Linked DNA regions of Arabidopsis thaliana. The protein of the gene in region 1 interacts with the protein of each later gene in a biochemical or structural test. Each region holds a gene or a part of one and is shown on either strand. Other genes may lie near its edges. The genes, in order: EIF3E and FUS5.

Region 1 (8,208 bases):
GCTTTCAGCTTCTTCGGTAGACTTCGTTTAACAATCTGAAGAAAGGATACATAAAACAATGTCGGAACAAAAAGATAATGTTGTTAATAAAGCCATGAATGAGCCATGAATGAGCCATGAAGGATTCAAAACTATGATTCATAAAATACTGCCACAGAATCCAAACCTCGTATGTATCCCCCTTCTCCAGAATCTTCACGTAATGGACCTGTAAAACACCACCCTCAGACAGAATTGTCCGTGCAGTACTTCCAGCAGATCCTTCTGGAATGGCAGAATTCATTGCAGCTTCTGACACCTTGAGGCTAAAATTTGGGGTGGAGTTTGAAGGTGACAGGGCCTTCATTCTAGCTTGAAGAGATTCATATTGAGGTCGAGGCTCACCCATTCCATTACGGCTTCTTACTCCAGACCTTTTATCACTTGCCATCAGTTCTGCTAATGATCTCAGATCCAGAGTTCCTTTCAAGTAAAATTCTTCCACATGAATGTCTGAAAAGCTCGGTAAGTTTAATGATGCCACCAGCTTGTCATAACTTGGGGGGATTTTGTAGATGACACCATCACCAATGTCCAAATACGAAGGTTCATATGCTATCCTGCAAATGATGCAAAATTCAACGTGTCAATCTAGGAAACCCAACACCGTAAGTTATCTAAGCGGATTACACAGGGTTACACGGATCCCATGGAACATGAAAAAACATATGATCAACATACTTGGGTGTAATATCACGATCATGGTAGCTTCCTCGCCTATGTGGGGTCACATCAGCTGCAAAATTTGGAGAGTTGTCCATGTCATAGAACCTCCCATGGTAATCATTCCCTGGTTTCCTACCTCTGTAACTGCCCACATTGCTCTTTAGCACCGGAAAACCCATCAGATGAGGAGGATTCCCTTGAGTCTCCTTGGACCTATTTTTGAATTTTTGTACATGCTCCCCAAGCATTGATCGGTAGTGCTCCTCAGTAACATGTTGATTGTAGAGATCATCATCGTCCTCTGCATCCTCAGCTTCTGTCCACCGCTTTCTCTTCTTGGAGCTCGCATTCATTCTCGATTTAGACCCATTGCTGTAGTTTGCCACTACCCCACCTTTAACCATTACCAACCATATAGACAGAACACAGATAAACGTCACTTAAAACTATCACAGTAGGTGGCAAAAGTAATTCCATAAAACCAATTAAAAACTGTACCTTGAGTGCTTCTACTTTCATCCTGGCTACTACTCCCATAATAATCAACTTCATCTTCAGGTTTCGGAATTCTAAACTTCATCAACGGCTGCAAGAATGAAGAATTTAGCCACAAAACCCACACTGAATTTCAACAGTAAAACAAAAACACACTGTAGAAACAAGGAGAAGCTATACAATTGCAAGATTTCCAATCACCAAAACTACATTCATCACAGTCACATGATCATCATCCAACAAGTACAAACCATCAATTTCAAGGAAATCACAAAAAAATTGAGACCTAACAGACCTCGAGATCGAATAGATTCGCGTAAGGAGAGTCCTTCGGTGGTCGTCTTGAAGGATCCATGAGAGACGGGAAGAGAATAACACGGCGTCAAAATTTTGGAGAGTCTTAATCCTTAAAAGCTTCTAGACAGAAACATTCGTCACGAGAAAGAAAAAGAGTTCGTCTCGAAGAAGAACCCTAATCCAGTATGATAGAGGAAGAGGGCGAAAGGTTAAAGACGAACATGCGCAAGTTAGTGGACACAGGCGGTACAGAAAGAAGTCCAGACTACTAACATACGCCAAACGAATAAAGCTTCTTACCGTGCGCCTCTCCACAAAAAACATTTAATTATTATTTTTTCTTAACCCCTCCGGTACCGGCCGATCAGATAACGACGGCTAAGTTATCGTTTTGGAGATAAAAATACCTTGTGGGGTAAACAACAATATATAAGAAGTAAAGGGGCGAATTTATAAATATTGAAAGCTCATATTCGAGAAAACCCTAATTTCAATATACAGGATTTTTTACCTCGTCGTCTCTGAAACTTCATCTCTGCCGTCTTAAGAAGATTTTGCCAGTGCGGGAAGCGGCGGAGATTGAGAGATTAGCGACGATGGAGGAAAGCAAACAGAACTATGACCTGACGCCACTAATAGCGCCTAACCTGGACAGACACTTGGTGTTTCCTATATTCGAGTTCCTTCAAGAGCGTCAGCTTTACCCTGATGAGCAGATCCTGAAGTCTAAAATCCAGCTTTTGAACCAGACGAACATGGTTGATTACGCCATGGATATTCACAAGAGTCTCTACCACACTGAAGACGCTCCTCAAGGTATTCTTGTGTATTCCTCTCTGGATATGTCTGTGAATTTGCGTTTTTGTGTACTGGTTTGTTTGTTTGATGATGAATGTTGAAATTTGTGGTGATAGAAATGGTGGAGAGAAGAACAGAGGTTGTCGCTAGGCTCAAATCTTTGGAGGAGGCTGCTGCACCACTCGTGTCTTTTCTTTTGAACCCTAACGCTGTGCAGGAGCTAAGAGCTGACAAGCAGTACAATCTCCAAATGCTCAAGGAACGCTACCAGGTTGTGATTTGGATGATTAAGTTGTTTAATTTTGTGAAATGTTATCCAGATTTGGTTTTGTTTGTGTATTGTGGAACACAAATCTTATATGGCTTGGTGTCTTATCAGATTGGTCCAGACCAGATTGAGGCTTTGTACCAGTACGCCAAGTTTCAGTTTGAATGTGGCAACTATTCTGGTGCTGCTGATTATCTTTACCAGTACAGGACCCTGTGCTCTAACCTTGAGAGGAGTTTGAGTGCCTTGTGGGGAAAGCTCGCATCTGAAATATTGATGCAAAACTGGGATATTGCTCTTGAAGAGCTTAACCGTCTCAAAGAGATTATTGACTCAAAGGTTAGTATTTAAAACTTCTTCTAGTTTGCGACCTTTGAAATCAATATAGATGTGAGAGTATATATGCTAACTACCATTTGTTTTTTCAGAGTTTTTCATCGCCGTTAAACCAGGTGCAGAACAGGATTTGGTTGATGCATTGGGGTCTGTATATCTTTTTTAACCATGATAATGGAAGGACACAGATCATTGATCTTTTTAACCAAGACAAGTAAGCCTCTACCTCTCTGTTATCTGCATCTCTTCTTTATACCTTTCATCACCATCTATTTCCTTGCGTTTTAAGATAAGCATGATCTAGATGCGATGAAGTTATGTATAGGTGGTGTTTGTGTGTAGAACTTTGTTTATAGTTAATGTTAGTCCTGATGTGCCTACAAGTAATTAGCAGTCACTAGTTTTAGAGTCTTCTCCTTCTTTTCATCCAGACCTATTCTTAAGATTGTGCTTTGTGTATGGGCATTTGCTGAAAAATAATTCACTTTGTTTTCATGCTGCAGTTCTGTATACTAATTTGATTTACTTTTTCAGGTATCTGAATGCCATCCAAACTAGTGCTCCACACTTGCTGCGCTACTTGGCAACTGCTTTCATTGTCAACAAAAGGAGAAGACCACAATTGAAAGAATTCATTAAGGTCATTCAGCAAGAGCACTACTCCTACAAAGATCCAATTATCGAGTTCCTGGCATGTGTGTTTGTCAATTATGACTTTGATGGGGCTCAAAAGAAGATGAAAGAGTGTGAAGAGGTAACTCATCCACATGTATAGATATTTTTGTTTGTGCAGAACTGTGCAATCAATACTCTGACATTTTAACATGATGTAGGTCATTGTGAATGATCCATTCCTTGGCAAGCGAGTTGAGGATGGAAACTTTTCAACTGTACCACTGAGAGATGAATTTCTTGAAAATGCCCGCCTATTCGTCTTTGAAACCTATTGCAAAATTCATCAAAGGATTGACATGGGGTAAGTTCTCACATTTGGTTGTATATGTTTACACATAACTCTGCTCTCCGGATTGCTCAATGTTTGGAATTTTCTCTATTCCTTATCTTTCCCAACACATGAAAATTGCCATATCCAGCTATTTAAGTTGAGAAGAATTGTTGCGGTCTTGTGGTTTAACTTTGTACTCATGTCGAGCCTATATTTCCCTTGTCAGGGTACTTGCTGAAAAATTGAATCTGAACTATGAGGAGGCCGAGAGATGGATTGTGAACCTAATCCGCACCTCAAAGCTTGATGCCAAGATTGATTCTGAGTCAGGAACTGTAATCATGGAGCCTACTCAGCCCAACGTGTAAGTAGAATAAGCTTAAATCTATGATATCATTCGTATTCTACAATCTAATCTTGTTTCCGCTTTATGCAGGCATGAGCAGTTGATAAACCACACCAAAGGCTTATCAGGACGAACATACAAGTTAGTGAATCAGCTCTTGGAACACACACAGGCGCAAGCAACTCGCTAGTCAAAATTTTGCTGTGGAAGCCTTTCCTTGATAAAACTCACCTTCGGTTGACTGGAATTATTTTCTTTTTCTTGCTCTGAGTTCACCTTTTACTTTGAAAAAGATTATTATGGAGTTGTTCTATTTGAAATGTTGGATCCACAGATTGGAACATTTTCCAACCAAATCAGCATTTTGTATCCACCCTAAGCATTTAAAGGTTTTTGCAAGCCAACGTAAATTACTGCCTTACATTGAGCATCTCTGATTTGCGTAATAGTAAGTACAATAATAGCATATAACAGAAGTAAGAAAAACAAAACTTAAGAGTTAAGACTATGACAGTGGAAAGAACAGGTCACAAACAAAACAAGTATATCAATTCGTAAATAGTATAAAGTTACTCCAGAAGTCCAACTCGCCAGAGTCATCAAAAGAGAGAAGATAAATTCAATTTCTTTGGAGGTGGGTGCCCTCCAGAGAGTACCACATAAGAATAGAAACACAACATGCAATGGAAATGGCATATAGTGTGTTTTGATCTTTCCAGTGGATCTTTTGAAGCGAGTATGAAAATACCATTTACCACTGATGGTCGAGTTACTATAAGCAACATGAAGGACCGTTTGTGTATATCAGAGGGGAAGGACATGAAACAAGAGATATGGTCATTAAACTCTCGCAAGAAATGGGAGAAGACGTATTCGATTGATTTGAATAGAACTTCCATTTGGTGTCGCCGCCATCCGAATTTGCCAACAAAAACAATCACAACATTTCAGAAAAATAAGATTTTGCTTCATAATTGGAAGATAACTGGCCGTACTTTAATTATACATGATCCGGAACAAAATTCTTATGATTTTAGCTTTTAAATTTCAGCATAAAGGGGTTTCTAACTTTCTATCGCTTATTTCCCAAGTTTACTCACTGTATAACTGGTAGACGCATTATTTCTTATTATTGTTTCAGGATTGAGCTAGCAATAACTTTTCTATATTACTTATGTTTTAGTCTTCTTTCTTTATCTCTTTTTATTTATTTATTACTATGATATTCGAATATAGACAATCAAAGCATATCTCACAAATAAGAAAATCAAAACTTTAGATTATGACACTGGAAAGAACAGGTCACAAACAAAACCAAGTGTATCAATTCGTAAAGAGTATAAAATTACACCAGTAATCCAACAGACCAGAGTTATCAAAAGAGAGAAGATCTCCACTTTTTTAAATCTAAACCTATGTAAAGTCCCTTCAGTATGAAGGACTAGTCGCAGATGGTTTCAATTTCTTTGGAGGTGGGTTTCCTCCAGAGAGCACCACATATGAATAGAAACACAACATGCAAGCACTGCAATGAAAAAGACGTAAACACACGGTTACATGAATCCACGAAAGATCATCAGAATCTGTTGTAGATCACAAGACGTATTTCTTACCTGATGACAGCAAAAACCCCGGCCGGAAACAGCTTCTTAGTCTGCATAAGTACAACATTAAGCAGTTGAAGTCAAGCAAGCAAAAATAAACAATCAGCATGATCACAAAGATAATGAATACCATCGAATAAGCTGTGAAGTTCTTCCAGAAGACGACAGCTGAAAGCACTGCAATTTCAGGTTTAGAAAAATGAGTAAGCACAAATGCTTTCATAGATAAAATGAACATTTCTTATAGAGAATCATAGGCACATAATGTTCAGAGATGACCACTTCATAGCATGACACAGTATACTTATCTCGATTTTAATATCCACTTATCATGAGTAAGATACCAGTAATTACTTGATGTAATGAATTAGAGATGAAAAAAAGTCGTGGTAACAAAATATCCCCTACTGTTCCTGCAGACAATAAATGAAGATTACCTGCTTGTCCTAGTATATAAGGGAAACTAGATTTTCCCTCTCGCCAAATCTTTAAGCTCAGTGTACTAAGGGCTAGAAGGCCACCACCATAGAGGACACCAGTACTTAAACTTGTAAGATTTCGTGAAAACGCAAAACCAAGAAGCCCTCCACTCACAACGAGACCACCTGAAAAAGTATCATTTATTAACACCAGCGTGTTACCTGACAATAAGCAACTCTTTGCTAGAAATGCTAAGATTTGAAAGAAAGTTTGAGAGTCACAAAGTAGTACCATAAGGAATGCCGAAACAGAAGTCGTGGATCTTTGCTGCTCTTATTGGTTGTGTGGCAACATCTTCCTCTACTGGCTCTGTGATGCTCTCTTTATTGGTAGCAGTTTCATCAACAGTGGAATACGGTTTGGATGTTTTCTCAACAACAGGTTTTGAAACCTCAGCTGTATAGCTTAGAGAAGCTGGTGTTTCAGAGCTATTCCCATCAACACTTTTAACTACAAAAGACTGAACCAATTTATAGCCAATAAGCCACTAGTGGAGACACTATCAATCCCAAAAAATTTAGAAGAGAGCTCAACATATGATAATTAGCACATAGAGACAATCAAAAAGGTGAACAAAAAGGCAATTTTTGTTATTGAAGACATGGTACATTCCCAACCAACTCAACCAGAGAAAACAGAGAAGCAATTCAAGTCTCAAGGAGAACCATTTCTAGAAAACAAAAGCAAATATTCGATTACGACTAAATCAATCAAGCTCAAACGTTTTTGAGAGTAATCAGGAAAAGTAGAACAAATAGAGTATTGGGCATGGACGTAATCTAATCGAGATGAGTAAATTCCAAGTCTTTTTCATGCGATATCGAGATATTTACCTGGGGACGAATCATAGGGCATGGAAACGATCGGCTTTGGAAGTGAAATTGGCGATTGGTGGATGAGAAACAAGCAAGCTGAGAGATTTGTGAAGCCATCGTCCAGATCTGATACCGAAAAATTGGAAGTGAAAAGTCAAAAGGGAAAGAAATGGAGAATCGGAGCGTGGTCAGCACGAGAGATGGAGTGGTTGATCTAGCCGGCGTTCAGGACTGACTGACTAAAAAGACGATACTGATCGGACAATCTTGACCGTCCGCTCGTTTGATTTTGAAGTTGTTCGGTCAAAATGTTGCGAAGAAATTACGCGCATATGACAATTTCGGTTTAGTGTGGTTTAATCTTTGACTTTAGGGATCGGAGATGAGAAAAAACGAATCCATTTAATTATTTCGGTTTAGCTGGTTTAAGCTTAGGTTTCCTTTTTAGGCGGCTTTTAGCTTTCAAGTGGGCTCAGATTTGTCTCAGGTTCTTTATTGGGCTCATTTCGTTTAAAGACCATTAGTATTACTAGTAGTTTTGGTTAGCCCAACCAGCATTTGATTTTGTCTGAATTAAAGTTCTTTACTTGATTTCAACCACACCTTTAACGGCTAAGCCCTCATAAATCACACGCGTTGTTTGACTTGTGAGTGCACTTATGAAGAGTCAAGAAAGACAAATGTCTCTCTCTGTCTCTGATTATGTAGCTTACCATATATTACACCATTGTATTAATTATTCAGAGATTACCAACTCATTATTTTATCTTGTTGCCTAATTCCGTGTATTAATTTTAGTTTCATATTGACATTTTACATTTGGTTATATATTAATGTTCTTTCTCTAGAATTTACTATATATATTGTTTATGCTAGCTAGGATCAATGTCATAACAGTAAATGATTTCCACCTCGCTCTTAATTTTCTACAAATCATCTCTTTCTTCACCTAACGACGATGGATCTCCGATTCTTGGCGTCCTTGACCCTTCTTCTCGGTCTATTCTTCGTCAATACAAATCCAACAGGTCACTTAATACCTCTTTATTTCATTATGTATATAGAAAATATAACATGTGTGATTATATTATAATATCACCCTGACATAGAGTAATCAA
Region 2 (7,702 bases), on another chromosome or scaffold:
AACTTCTATATTGATTTAGAGCTCTACCTTTTCTTTTTTAAAAGTTGATTGGGAATTGCATATATCTAAATTTTTCACTTGCAAAAGAGTAAATCAAAAGCTAAAATGTTTGTATCAGCACAATGAATTTGCAAGCTACAAAAAGGATTTCAAAACAAACGTTTCTATGAAGCTATTTTCGTTCAGTATGCATGTTTTTTTCCTTATTTTTGTCTTGTAGATGGATTTTAAATTTTCACTTTAATTCGATGTATTTAGATACATGTGTTTGTAGTTTGTTATCTCTTCAGTTTTATGTTTGAACATACATCTCTCGTACTTCTTGTTTATATCTTGTTTTTGTCTTCCTCTGTATGGTTTGGCAGGTGTCCACGCTATTTAAAAACTGGTATCAAATCTGCGAACTTCCTGGTGCAAATGAAACCGCATGTTCACAATATGTCCTGCATTTGCACCAGACTGGATTACTTAAGGGAGATGATACAACAGAGAGTTTTTTCCGAATTCTTCTGGTGATTTTACCTTTTAAGAATGTTTTAGCATCAGCACTTTCAAATCTTGAGAGGCATCATTATTGATTTTGGCTTTCCTTTCTGTAGGAACTTTCTGTTGCTCATTGTATATCTTCTGAAGATATTAATTCCGGTGCTGTGCAATCTCCTCAGCAACCTCAGAGTCCATCATTCCTTATCATTGATATGTATGCAAAGCTTGTTTTTTCAATATTGAAGGTAGAGTGCTCATTTTTTTTTTTGCATTCTTCGTGGATAATTATACCCAAAATACATTGCCGGCTAAGCTTTTTTTGTTTTGTTTGTTTCTTATGACAATCTGTTCAGTATTTCCCTGAGCAGGAGTCTAGCAGTAGGTTATTTCTTCTTTCAGAGGTAAGGGGACACATACTCTTATTGGAAATAAATCTAACTTCTACTATAATGGATGGAAAAGGTGAGTGGTATTGATTACCTGTTTCAGATCATGGCTGACACAGTGAGATTTATTCAAAAGGACGCAGAAGATAAAAAGACATCACTCAATTCTAAACCATATTTCCGATTGTTCATCAACTGGCTACTGGACTTGTGTTCCCTGGATCCTGGGACGGATGGTGCAAACTTTCAGGTGCATTTTGTTGTCCTTGAAGTAGCTGCTATTAATTGTTATCACTTTAATTAATCTTTTGTTGCAGGTTCTCACAGCTTTTGCCAACGCCTTCCACGCATTGCAGCCTCTTAAGATTCCTGCTTTCAGGTTAGGACACAAACCTATTTCTCACCGTGCTTCTATTAAAACTTAAAAATTTGAATCTCTCAGGAAATTTGAGGGCAGTCAAATACCTATGTTGTCAAACATTTCATGTTGTTGACATATGTATCTTCTTTTCTTTGATCTGTGATCCGTGTTTTATACATTTTTTTTCTTCTCCACTGAGGTTTTTATAAATTTTTCCAGTTTTGCATGGCTAGAACTTGTCAGCCACAGAAGCTTCATGCCCAAACTACTTACAGTAAATGGCCAGAAGGGTTGGCCATATGTTCAGCGCCTGCTGGTGGACTTGCTTCAGTTTCTTGAGCCATTTTTAAGAAATGCTGAACTCGGAGGACCGGTTTGTGCCTTTTTCTCTTCTGTAATTGTTTTGCATTGGACACTAAAGGATATAGTCGATGGTAACTTAAAGTGGTCTCTTTTTTGGTGTGTTTATTAATTGCGTAGGTTCATTTCCTATACAAAGGGACATTGAGAGTATTACTGGTTCTGCTTCATGATTTCCCAGAGTTCCTATGTGATTATCATTTTACTTTCTGTGATGTGATTCCTTCAAGTTGCATACAAATGCGGAATATTATCCTCAGTTCTTTTCCACGGAACATGAGGCTTCCTGATCCTTCTACCCCAAATTTAAAGGTACGAGATGATAGTGGAGATTCCAGCATGTTCAACATATTTTAAAGAAAATATATTCCTTGTAGGCTGAATTATCGTGTTCATTGCAGATTGATTTGTTACCTGAGATAGTAGAAGCTCCCTGTATCCTTTCTGAGGTTGATGCTGCGCTAAAGGCAAAGCAAATGAAGAATGACGTGGATGAGTATCTTACGGTAATGGGAACACCTGATTCTTCAATTTACTTATATTCACTTTGGTATTCTTGAGATTATATCAAGAGATACTCATATAATTTTTCTGCAGTCGAGGCAGCAAAATTCAACTTTCCTAAGTGAGTTGAAGACAAAGTTACTTCTATCGTCCAGCGAGGCTAGTTCAGCTGGAACCCGTTACAGTGTACCATTGATCAACTCGCTTGTGCTATATACTGGAATGCAGGTATGGGTCTAATTTCTATACAGCCTTTTCTTTTGATTTCTAGTTTATTATATATATATATATGCAAATAACCGACATTGCGATAACAGGCTATTCAGCAGCTTCAGGCCGGTGAGACACAGGCTCAAAATGTTGTGGCCTTGCAGATGTTCAAGTATTTAAGTATGGAACTTGATACGGAAGGGCGGTATCTGTTCCTTAATGCAATCGCCAATCAGCTTCGATACCCCAACAACCACACTCATTACTTTTCTTTCATCATGCTCTATCTATTCTTCGAATCTGATCAGGTGAGTTTGCTTTGCTTGTCAAGAGTTGTGTGGAAAAATTAGTGAGCATGGAAATCTGATTTTTTTTTTCTTTTTCTTGGGATGAATGAAACAGGAGATCATACAGGAGCAAATAACTAGAGTGCTGTTGGAACGGCTAATTGTGAACAGGCCACATCCATGGGGACTTCTAATCACATTCATTGAGCTAATAAAGAACCCAAGATATAGCTTCTGGAAACAAGCCTTCATCAGATGTGCGCCTGAGATTGAGAAGCTGTTTGAATCGGTAGCCAGATCCTGTGGTGGCCTGAAGCCTGTCGACGAGGGAATGGTTTCGGGAGGTTGGGTCTCAGACAATTCTCACTAGCTCTTTAGCTTTCAACTTGTATATATGTATGCGTATTTTGATATTATGTTGTAACAATTATACATACAGTAGGAGAGATTTTAGGAGTCTTAGTTTATTTATTTAACTTCAAGATTCACAAACATGTTTTCTAATTACAAAAAAAAAAAACACTATTATTCCTTTATCCTTGCTCTTAAGGGTCTGTTTGAGAATTAGTTAGGTGAAAACATGTTTGAGAAATCGGCGGGGATTGTGTTTTCATGGTCATAAAACATGACCATAAACACTGAAAGAGATTATGATTATGCTGAGGGAGTGTGAGAAATCGGCAGGGATTGTCATCATATAGTACTAGACTACTAGTACTTTGTATAACGTTCTCAGGAACATGTTTCGGTCAGAATTCCGATGGTGGGATCTAGTCGATGACGTAATAAACAACACTTTCATGCCCGCCTAAGAGGCAGCTGTCGCAGACTAAGCAGGTTTCAACATGTGAGGGGCCAAGGCGCTGGCTAGTGGTCAAAAGACGGAACACTGAGAATATCTGTATCATTCCATATGATCCAAGCGCCTAGCTTTGCTCAAGTGTCAAGACTATTGATTACTGAATACTAAATTCAAAGCCATTTTTCTTTTAATGGGCAGAGAGACACCAAATTTGCTAATGAGGGAAATCAAACATAACAAGGGGTTATTGTGAGAGAGAACAGAGGATCTTATACAAGTTGAAAATCCGCAACCAAATAATCATAATCTACTCTCGGTAAATGGAATGTCAATCCGCACTGACCATTTGCTCTCTCTTGCTCCTCTACCTTGTTACAGGATGCCTCCTCCTGCGTTCCAAAGTTGAATGTGTGTATGTTATATCATCTCCTTTGTACTTATCATCTCACTCATATCTAATATTCGTTACCTCTTTGGTCGGATCCCATCTTCTTCGTAGTCCATCACTCCACTTGGTTCCCCAAACATCTCCTTATTCCCTCTGATGTCAACATCCCCCTGCCCACAACGTAAGTAAGACTATATCGACCACCACCCTTCCCAATCATATTTCAGACACAAAAAACCAAACGAACCTTGTTTCATTTCATTTAACAATCAGACAATAACCAAGTACTACCATTCCAAACAATTCATGTCCTCTAATGACTTTAACACTTCACTAACAGCCGTTGTGATTGCGTTCCTTGTTTGTTTTTAATTAAAGAAAACTTCATAATATATGTTTACATCCAACATGTAAGATTTCTTGTTCCACGAAAGAACGGTTAAAAAAGCCCGCCACAGTTGGCTGATCGATTCGTTTGTTATTAAGAAACATAACTTTTTAATCTATGATAGGACTGGACTTGGAAAGCTCAAAGACCTAGAAAGATTTTTTTATCAAGTCTCTCCCATCCCCGCTTACATAGACCTAAGCTATTAATAAGAAGAAACCCACTACAATTCTCTGAAGAAATATAAGACAGAATAGCTGACTGGACTCTAACTCATGGTCACAAGACAGTAACCAAGAAAGAATGTAACCAATATTAGTTACATAATATACTTAGTAGGGAAAAGTGAAGCCAATAGGACTCCAAGCGCGACTGACCTTCATGGACAGAGACTTCTTCACTTCTTCCACCCCTTCTTCTGCTTCCTTACGATGTTTTTTGTCCATCTCACTCATATTGTCCGCCCATTTGATCTTGTCTTGAATTGAAATGAGCAGATTCTCTGACGTGTTCAACCTAGACATCAATTTGGGCCAACACATAAAAGAGTAGGACGTCATTAGCCATGTATTCTAACATCACGTACAAGTTCTTATAATTAGATATAGAAGGCAAAAAATCCTGGATCTAAGGGAAGAAGAAAACTACCAGTTGGACAATGTGTGTAACATATTCCCTAGTTGACCTGGCCTTAGATCCCTACCAGCTGCAAACGGAACCTGCATGGTTGCAAGAGATATATGATGTTTAGAAGGGGGGGCTCGTACGTTTAGAAACAAAGCACAATGGTTAAAATAGGAAAAGGAGGCCCAAACCAAAACACACCTCAAAACATCTTTTTAACTGATCCAGTTTTCCCCTAACTATACCCTGCAAAGTGTAAAAGAAAAAAAATGAGCACCATGCGTTGTCACAGTTAGTTGTCAAATAGAGATTAGAAGACTGCTAAAGAGTACTCACCGCATACATGCATTCATTGATAAGAAAGTCCTCGAGTTCGCGAACATTGGAAACATCTAACTCGACCATTAGTGTATCATAGGGCAATACCTATAACAAGCAGAGTGAGAGAGACATTCAGTTAGGCAAACAGCAGGGGAAAAAGATAATGGAACAGAGTAGATAGCAGGAGCAAATCATGAACCTAAGACAAATATACCTTGTTAGACTCAGCAAGGGTGAGGACAGTGAGCTGCTTAAGCTTAAGAATTTGGTCAGGGGACAAGTGCGGAAGACGGGTGGCATTGCCTAGTGTTTCGATGAAAGCAAGTCAAGAGGAGAGAATATGACAAAAGGGAAAACGAATTGAAATAGCATATGACAAAGGGGTCATACATTTGTAGTCTCCCCAGGTGCCATGGGCAAACAAGCGTAGTAGATCCAGGTACACAGAATCTGTGGTTCCTTCAAGCTGCACAATTACGATTAATCAGCTACTAGTATCTATCAAGTTGTTATGATCAGCGAAGAACAAAAGCATGTAAAACCCTAGATCGTGAAAAGCATAAAGTAGTAGTACCTGGGCAACATTGGGTAGAGCCAAAATCTCGGAGAAGGCGAAGAGAGAAGGATGCGATGTGGCTTCGATGATGAGCGGGCCCAGAGCCTCGGATTTGCAAGTAGAAGCTCGCTTCACGAGCTGATCAATGATCTCGGCTTGCTTCTGCTCGATATCCATCTTCCAAACAAATCGATTTCCGGTGGTTTAGGGTTTTCTTTCTTACCACACTAATAACGAATAAAATCCCAAACTTCTTCTCTCTGCTCCTTCCTTCTTCCGTTTTTATATTACTGTTTTTTTTATGTGACCGACCGAATTCTTCTAGAATCTTGTTTAATAATTGGGCTCAAATTTCGTAGTTTCTGGGCCAAGGCCTACTAAGAGAAATATTAGAAACCGCGTCTGGTGAGCCCAAACAATCCCGGGGAAGAGAGAGACTATTGAATATTCTTCTTCCTTCATTTTGGCTGAGAGAGCGACGACGATGGCGGAATCTCGCAGCAACAGAGCGGCGGTTCAGGCTACTAACGACGATGCATCCGCCAGTAAATTGTACGCCTACCTCTTTCTCTCTTCTTTAATTAGGGCTCTTCTTTTTTTTTTGTTGTTGTTGTGGATCTTTGAGCCTAGATAATATTTTTAAAGGTCTTGTGTCAAAAAGGGATATATGAAAGACGACTATGTTCATCTCTTTGTGAAAAGACCTGTTCGAAGATCTCCCATCATTAATCGAGGTTACTTTTCCCGTTGGGCTGCCTTCCGAAAGCTTATGTCTCAGTTTCTTCTAAGCGGGACAAGTTCTAAGAAACAGATACTGTCTCTCGGAGCTGGCTTTGATACTACCTATTTTCAGTTGCTGGTGCGTCTTCTTTTTCTTCTCCTTTTTGTTAGCTTTTACCAAATTCACCATTCTTCGGCTTATTCCAGGGATCTCTCGCTTCTTCTCTTCTCATTTTGTAGGATGAGGGGAATGGGCCCAATCTCTATGTGGAACTTGATTTTAAGGAGGTACTACTGGATGAGCGTGCTGACAAAAGTATCCATCATGTGTTTTGAGTCTAATGCCTAAATGGATTTGCTTCTTACGTTAGGTGACTAGCAAGAAGGCTGCTGTTATACAAAACTCCAGCCAACTCAGGGACAAACTAGGAGCCAATGCATCTATTTCTATTGGTAAGAGCCTTTTTTCCCCCCATGTATTATTATGTAGAATGATCCTTTTCATTATGATGCATTTCAGCTTGTGCACTCATATTTTTCTTCATTCCGCTTCTACTAGCTACTAACTCAACCACCCCCTTTTACTTTGTACCGTTAGCGTCTAGTTTCAGTTGCTTACTCTTAACTCGTTGGGCTGTTTATCTCTACAGACGAAGGACAAGTTCTCAGTGATCATTACAAGTTACTTCCAGTTGACCTGCGCGATATACCAAAATTAAGAGATGTTATATCCTTTGCAGATATGGATCTAAGGTATCCATGAATAATTTTTATTTATTTTACACACTGTTATCTTGAACCTTCAACCCTCTTCTTCTACCCGGGTTTAAGATATATGGTAACAGATACTTACTGGTGATAGACCTACTTGATCCCTAATATCATTATCAGTCTGCCGACGTTTATTATTGCAGAATGTGTTTTGATTTATCTGGACCCCGATTCAAGCCGTGCCATCGTCAATTGGTCGTCAAAAACGTTTTCAACTGCAGTATTTTTCTTATATGAGCAGGTTAGCTCAACTGTGATTTTCCTTGTCTGCATAATATTGCAGATACGAATCTTATTGCTTATGTGTCTAACCCGTTGGGTTTCTGTTTGCAGATCCATCCAGATGATGCATTTGGGCATCAAATGATTAGAAATTTGGAGGTAAGAACGTGTACTCTACTACTCTAGTTACAGCGACATCTTCATTAGTAAAGCTTTTTTGAGATTTTTGTCAAAATATGGATACTAGTATGACACTAAAATATTCTAGTATTGCCACATGGGTTCATGTTGTACTGATCAATTACCTTCATTTAAA

What was found.
Region 2: the proteins of EIF3E (region 1) and FUS5 form a complex in vitro, tested with the Arabidopsis thaliana proteins (one study listed by BioGRID).

Annotation. Positions count from the first base shown.
Region 1 is NC_003074.8:21,192,959-21,201,166, reverse strand, and holds EIF3E (eukaryotic translation initiation factor 3E), read left to right. Parts: upstream 1-1,847; 5' UTR 1,848-2,093; coding exon 2,094-2,313; intron 2,314-2,411; coding exon 2,412-2,566; intron 2,567-2,674; coding exon 2,675-2,902; intron 2,903-2,991; coding exon 2,992-3,113; intron 3,114-3,433; coding exon 3,434-3,653; intron 3,654-3,732; coding exon 3,733-3,875; intron 3,876-4,071; coding exon 4,072-4,209; intron 4,210-4,281; coding exon 4,282-4,381; 3' UTR 4,382-4,650; downstream 4,651-8,208. Other genes in the region: INO80 (DNA helicase INO80-like protein), read right to left, coding at 1-35, 167-599, 721-1,099, 1,204-1,291, 1,496-1,555; AT3G57280 (Transmembrane proteins 14C), read right to left, coding at 5,620-5,716, 5,805-5,845, 5,926-5,972, 6,233-6,400, 6,507-6,735, 7,109-7,207; BG1 (beta-1,3-glucanase 1), read left to right, coding at 8,049-8,118. UniProt on the Arabidopsis thaliana protein: Component of the eukaryotic translation initiation factor 3 (eIF-3) complex, which is involved in protein synthesis of a specialized repertoire of mRNAs and, together with other initiation factors, stimulates binding of mRNA and methionyl-tRNAi to the 40S ribosome.
Region 2 is NC_003070.9:383,719-391,420, forward strand, and holds FUS5 (Proteasome component (PCI) domain protein), read right to left. Parts: upstream 6,091-7,702; 5' UTR 5,851-6,090; coding exon 5,692-5,850; intron 5,584-5,691; coding exon 5,508-5,583; intron 5,421-5,507; coding exon 5,332-5,420; intron 5,223-5,331; coding exon 5,133-5,222; intron 5,043-5,132; coding exon 4,998-5,042; intron 4,892-4,997; coding exon 4,821-4,891; intron 4,689-4,820; coding exon 4,550-4,688; coding exon of another isoform or gene 4,505-4,549; exon of another isoform or gene 3,955-4,504; coding exon 3,866-3,954; intron 3,786-3,865; coding exon 3,761-3,785; 3' UTR 3,559-3,760; downstream 1-3,558. Other genes in the region: AT1G02080 (transcription regulator), read left to right, coding at 366-512, 600-731, 840-887, 976-1,122, 1,190-1,251, 1,453-1,606, 1,714-1,905, 1,995-2,099 and 3 more; SBI1 (Leucine carboxyl methyltransferase), read left to right, coding at 6,158-6,225, 6,319-6,532, 6,634-6,681, 6,765-6,846, 7,044-7,146, 7,285-7,405, 7,498-7,545. UniProt on the Arabidopsis thaliana protein: Component of the COP9 signalosome complex (CSN), a complex involved in various cellular and developmental processes such as photomorphogenesis and auxin and jasmonate responses.